2 linked regions of the Tribolium castaneum genome follow. The protein of the gene in region 2 interacts with the protein of the main gene of each other region in a pairwise test. Links are inferred from orthologs where the notes say so. Each region holds a gene or a part of one and is shown on either strand. Other genes may lie near its edges.

The links.
Region 1: the proteins of Tnks (region 2) and proteasome inhibitor PI31 subunit interact in binary tests that used the Drosophila melanogaster proteins (3 or more experiments, as listed by UniProt). The link is inferred for Tribolium castaneum from reciprocal best matches to the Drosophila melanogaster genes Tnks and PI31.

The regions. Positions count from the first base shown.
Region 1 is NC_087402.1:1,007,453-1,010,483, reverse strand, and holds proteasome inhibitor PI31 subunit, read left to right. Parts: upstream 1-1,264; 5' UTR 1,265-1,564; coding exon 1,565-2,380; 3' UTR 2,381-2,407; downstream 2,408-3,031. Other genes in the region: cilia- and flagella-associated protein 44, read right to left, coding at 1-72, 122-986, 1,036-1,224, 2,459-2,645, 2,712-2,732, 2,798-3,031.
Region 2 is NC_087397.1:12,006,097-12,009,753, reverse strand, and holds part of Tnks (poly [ADP-ribose] polymerase tankyrase), read left to right. Parts: intron 1-1,240; coding exon 1,241-1,494; intron 1,495-1,546; coding exon 1,547-2,011; intron 2,012-2,092; coding exon 2,093-2,321; intron 2,322-2,373; coding exon 2,374-2,759; intron 2,760-3,657. UniProt on the Drosophila melanogaster protein: Stimulates proteasome activity, probably by ADP-ribosylation of PI31. Modulates 26S proteasome assembly.

The DNA of each region.
Region 1 (3,031 bases), on a different chromosome or scaffold from region 2:
AGTCGATACTTTTGCCATCATCGTCAGATTCCGTCGATGACGTTGACGATGATGATGATTCGGAGCTCGATTCTGTAAAAATACTTACGTTTTAAAACTTGTAGATTTTCATCAATCTCACCATCATCCTTGTGCACTTTTGGCGGTTTGTATTTTTTCCGAAACACTTTCCTCAAAAAATCAAAAAACTTGTTATCTTGAACCGCATTTGTGAAACTGACTGTTATCGATTTAATCTTCTCTTGTGCCTTCTCGATGTCGGAATTATGTTCGACGATTTTCGAGCTGATCTCGTCGATAATGTCTCTCATATCTAAAACTTCGGACATTTTCTGATTAACTTTCGACTGAAGTGTGTACTCCAAAGCTTCAAATTCCTTCAGAATGAGCAGTTCTTGGTGCACTGTCACCATAAAAATATCAATGATTTTTGCGTCCACCTCGGCTTGGAATCTTTCAGTGTTCAACTTTTCGACTTTATCATCAAAATCGGTGATTTTTCGGTTCATTTCATCAATAATCACGTCTTGCTCGAAAAGCTTCCTTTGAAGTCTCCGCGTGCGAATATCGTGTTCCCACAAAGTGTCTTTTTTCTCGTTTTTGGAAAAACTACACAATGATTCGAAATCAAGCAGTGCAACATCGCATTCTTTCGCGTCAAATTTTTTGGTATTTTTCGGCAAAACATGTTTTTCAATTGCATCGAAATCTTTCGATTCGGTCACAATTACCGGTTCTTTCCTACTCCCTTCATCATATTCCTCCTCTTCCATTACCATAGTCACGGTAATTTCAAAATGCCTTTCGGGAAATTCGCAGTCCTCCGGTTCTCGAACAATCGGAGCTTCTTTTCGACAATCATCCGGAATTTCTTTATGTATTTCGTCCAATTTCTCGTTCAACACTTGTAGTTCATCCCTAATCGCGATTTTTTCCTCGCGCAAAGCCCAGACTTTTTCATTAAAATTGTGCCTGGTGTTTGATTGCTTAAAAAAAGAAATTAACCGAAAATTGGCTCAAATTCAATTGAGCCACCTTAACTCGCGACAAAAGCAGCTCTTTGTATTTTTTTACTGTTGTTTCTCGCTGATTTTTGGACGCCTTGTATGTTATATCCGATTTCAGCTTGTAATTGCCGATTGTGACTTTGGCGTCTTTTAACGCAACATCATCGTCGGGGTGATTCACCCCCGGCAGGGGCTTTCTAGCAAGAAATTCTTCCCACTATTAGACAAAAAAAAATCGTGTGCCCTTTTGAAAATTTCAAGCCGGCCCTGTTGCTTGTGCAACAGTTGGACGGTCCAAAATATTAAAAAAAACTAATATAATTAACCAGTTAATTTGAGTATGAATGGTTAATGTTAGAATTCCATGTTTTTCCAATAAAACTGAAGGTAAAAAATCGAAAAAAATGGAAATAATCGCAATGATCATGTCCTCCGGTTAGGTAATGACCTGTCAAAAAACATAAACATAACCTTATTGCAAAACAATTTGTTTGTCATCATTTCTAACAGTTTGAAATCGTCAAGTGCGAGTGTTAAACTCGGTTAAAACGTGCAAAATGTCGAGTCCTCTGTTCGGTTGGGACCTTTTGCTGAAAAGCGTCGAGTCCGAGATAAAAACCAACGAAGACATCCTCCTCTGTTTCACGCACTTGGTGCTCATCTCGAACGACTTTAAATGCATCGGTTTGGGCGAATCTAAAATCCTCGATGGTTCCGAAACAAAAACTGAAGCCCTACCACCAGGTTGGACCGAATCGTATTCAATTCGTTACGTCCACCAGGGCCGGCTTTACCTCCTCAAAGCAACCAAAGTTGACGAAGGCCTAATGCTTAACTTGATCCGTGTCGACGAACGCACCACCTCTCTCATCCAACTCAATACGGCCCTGGTGGCAAGTCGCACAGGAACCCTATCTCAGATCCTCCCCAAACACTCGGACATCCTCCAACAGATTAAAACCGAACTGATTGATAAAATCGTTGTTTCGAAAAACACCAAAGACAATTCGAGCCAAACACCGGCTGTTTCCAACCCGCCTCCGACTTCTCCGCCACAAGTTTCGCCGCTATTTGTGGACCCTATGCCACGTGCGGGGCCTGTGGGAGTGGGCGAATACGATTTGAATCCTTTCGGACGGAATCCTTTGGCTTTTCCGGCACCTATGGGCGGTGGTGGCATGCTTTTTGAGCCGCCCAGAGGTGGGAGATATCCACAAGGACCAGGGCTGGGAATGCCCCCAGGTGCTGTACCCCCAGGGGCAAGATTTGACCCGTTTCGACCACCTGACGTCGATAGGTTTCCCAGACGGCCGAATAATCGGCCCGATAATGACGAGTTCCCACCGCCCGGTTATGACGATATGTTTATGTAAAGAAATAAATTGGTGATTGTAAGTTAAGACGTGTCTTTTCCCTGCCTTGTAAGGCAAGACAAACTCTCAGTTAATTACCTCTTCTTCGCGTCGTTCCCATTTGAGTTTCCTGTCTCTGTACTTGTTTAGAAGACGTGTGAGTTTATTATGTTTTTGACTTTCCAATATTTTTGGATCGAGATTGACGAGGAAATATTCAAGACCTTGTTCTTTGACTTTTTTCGGTTGGATGGTTTTGGGAGCAGGGGGTGCACGTTCGGGGGGTCTAAACAACGTAAAGTTTTGTACAAATTTGTAAAAACACGAATTTCAAACGTGGAAAACTACTCACTTATCTATTTCCCTAACTGTCCTATCTGTGGTGTAAGCAAGTAGGAAAAGAAATGTAACACGTGAGTGTTTTGTGTTGATATTCACCTGCCTTTGACCTCCTCTTCGAGGATTTTTTCATCAACAATTTGTAACATTTGGTCATTGAGTGGCGAAACTTTTCTCTGACGTAACATTCGGACCAGTCTTTCGCTCCGGAGGCCGCTCACAATCAACGGAATAAAACACAAATTATCGATGAAATAATTCCGTAGTTTGTTCATCCGCAGTTCGGATTTTTGTACATCGAACGCCAACTTCCGCTTAACTAAAGCCTGTTCT
Region 2 (3,657 bases):
ATAGAAAAAGTCGAATGTTTACACTGACTGTCTCGAAAATGTATTTTTTTGTCTTATTACTACTACTAAAATCATTGTGTTTATGTTCTGGGGGGGGGGGCATTCAACCCCAAAATTTGGACCATAATAAGCTAAAAGAAATCTAATATGAAAAAGAAGTAGTGTTTCTAGTATTTTGGCACATTTTTTAAATGAGCAACTTCATTATTTAATGAAATTTTGTTACGAATACGCTCAAAAAACGCAAAATTTGTTTGATAATGGACCCACTTGCCTTTTTTGCATTTTTTGAGGTATTTTCTTTTGTGAAATTTTATTAAACCGGGCCTAGACGACTAACCGAGTCAAAAAAATCGATTATGACACAAATGATCCTAGCAAATGACATTATTATTGTTTTGTGCGTTGCTGCACGTTTTTAAGCCAAATGTTGCTAAGCCAAGCTGATAAATTACTAAACTGGTAATGCACTCATCATGCTTTTTTATGTATTTTTTTTAATCAGGCTCATTAATCATAATCAATCATTTGACAAAATTTAGTCAAAAATAAGTTGACAAAAATTCGCCAAATTGGATCGAAAATAGTGTTAGATCTCGTTTTTTTTTTTAAGTATTTGTTTGAGTTTTGAGTTAATGATCTTTTTGCCAAAACAATCTTGAATTAGGTCTAAAATGATATTGTGTTTGTTTTTTCGAGTTTATTTTTTTTTTACATTCTAGCACGTCTTTTAATCAGATATGCAATTATTTAGCAATTATTTGTAAAGAATTTTTAATTTTCATCAGACTTAGTTGTTTTACCAAATTTCTCTAAAACAAATAAATTGGAACAAAAATGAAATTTTTTTTGAGCGTTTTTAACACGTTTTTGACACGTTTTTGAGTGTATTTATTTCACGAAATCACCCAATAATGGTTTTATGTTAGCTTTTTTCTATTATTTAGTAATCAAAATTCCTAAAGCGGGTTAGAAAGGACTTTAACCCAAGATACAAATAGTAGATTTTTTTGGCAACTGTTTGAAACAATAAGAAAAACGTGTTTTTTATTAACCGAATTTTGAGAATATTTTTTGGACGCTGCACTCACTTGTGTAAATATTAAAACTACTTAAAAAACTTTTAATTCTGTGTGATAATAGACACGGTAATGATTAATGAAACAATTATCCAGTCGTCATCGTTTCGAAAGTTATTGTATAACAGTCGATGTTACCGCTTTCTTTCCGCTTTTTCCAGCGGCCTCGTCCCTCTACACAACGCGTGTTCATACGGCCACTTCGAAGTGACCGAAATGCTAATTAAACATGGTGCTAACGTCAACGCCAACGATCTCTGGGCTTTTACACCCTTACACGAAGCGGCTTCAAAATCACGCCTTGAAGTGTGTTCGTTATTACTGAGCGAAGGTGCGGATCCAACTCAGCTCAATTGTCATTCGAAATCGGCAATCGATGTAGCACCGACTCGAGAATTACAAGAACGACTCTCATGTCAGTCAATTCTAATAATTGTTACACAAAAATTTGAACATTTATATTGTAGGTGAGTATCGTGGACATCAATTACTGGATGCTTGCAAACAAGCCGACACCACCAAACTAAAAAAGTTCCTCACATCCGAAGTAGTCAATTTTAAACATCCATATACCGGTGATACGGCGCTACATGTAGCCGTGAATTCGCCCTATCCGAAGCGTAAACAAATAATCGAATTGTTGATTCGTAAAGGAATTCATTTGAATGAGAAAAATAAAGATTTTCTGACACCGCTTCATCTGGCTGCTGATAATTCGCATCTTGATCTCATGGAGGTGCTACTAAGACACGGTGCTAAAGTCAATGCTTTGGACGGATTAGGACAAACTGCCTTGCACAGATGTACCAAAGATGATAACGTCCAAGCTTGCCGACTTTTACTGTCCTACAACGTCGATCCCTCAATTGTCTCGCTACAGGGCTACACAGCGGCGCAATTAGCCGGCGAAAACGCCCAAAAACTGTTCCAAGGTACCGTATGTTCTGACAACTTTTGCCAACTTAACATCATTAGAGTCACAGAATTGATAAATTTATAATTTTTTTTACAAGATCCTCCAGCCGTTAACGGCGATGTCGAATGCCAAGTGTTGGAAGCTGCGAAATCCGGCGATCTTGAACAGGTTCAAAGACTACTAGAAACGTACCCCAACACGGTTAACTGTCGCGATTTGGACGGTCGTCATTCGACTCCCCTCCATTTCGCGTCCGGTTATAACCGAGTAGCCGTTGTCGAGTATCTCCTCGAGCAAGGAGCCGACGTACATGCGAAAGATAAAGGGTTGGAACCGTTTTTTCTCACTCAATGTTGGTATAAAATTAGGGTTTTGTAGCGGTTTAGTGCCTTTACACAACGCTTGCTCCTACGGTCACTACGAAGTGACCGAATTATTAGTCAAACATGGAGCTAATGTAAACGTTGCCGATTTGTGGAAGTTTACACCGTTACACGAGGCTTCAGCGAAAGGTAAATACGAGATTGTGAAATTGTTGTTGAAACATGGTGCTGATCCCACGAAGAAAAACCGAGATGGAGCTACGGCTCTTGATTTGGTGCGAGAGGGTGATCAAGATGTTGCCGATTTGTTGCGAGGGAATGCAGCATTGTTGGATGCCGCCAAAAAGGGGAATTTGGCGAGGATTCAACGGTTGATTACCGCGGAAAATATCAATTGTCGCGATGTGCAAGGGAGAAATTCCACTCCGCTCCATTTGGCCGGTGAGTAGCTTATTTTATTCGGCGCCATCTGTTGTTTTTTCGAAAAATTGTTTTGTTACCATAAGTTAGAGATCAACGAGCTTTTAACAACTGAATGAAGGACAAACAATACCTTGTTACTGAAGAAGACAGAAAGTAAATTTAAAACATATTTTTTTATAAGTATATCGGTAATTGTAATGTAAAAAAAAATAATATACCACAGTATATTCTGAACATAATATTGCATTTAATAAAAATTACAATAACTAGTAAACAAAACAGAAAAACTTGGCAAGTAAATAAAACTAAATGTTGGGAAATGTCAGAACATGGACTGCTTTTAAATTTTAATTATTTACAGATTACAGTTACAGATCACAAAAATTATAAGAAAAAGGTTATAGTTTTTGATGATTAAAATTTTACTTTAAATTTTTTCACAAGCGAAAAAAAAATTTCATGTAGTATATAGCAACTCTTTTATTAAATACTGTATTATAGTATATAATTACATAAAACTGATTGAAGAAAGAGAAATCAATTGCATTTTGTTACACTTGCTGTCTTGAAAGAGGTAGGTGATAAGTTGTAAAAACGTTTTTTAAAGTAGAACTATACTCACTACGTCTGAAGCGGAGATGTTCCAATAAGCGCGTGAACGCAAAATTTGAAATTGAATTTTTGTGAAAAGTAATCAACAAAATGTTTTTTTTTACAATTGGGTATTGTTTCTAAGTTGAATTATGTCCTCATAGGTAAGTTTATACTTTATTTTAAAAATTTGTAACCGAGTCTAACCCCTGGTTTCTAGAACGATATATCGTTAGATAAATTTTATCAATTGGATAGTTGCTAAGGTAGAGATGCCGTGATTGGTGTTTCTATAGAAATTATGGAACCGATAAAATTATTCTAA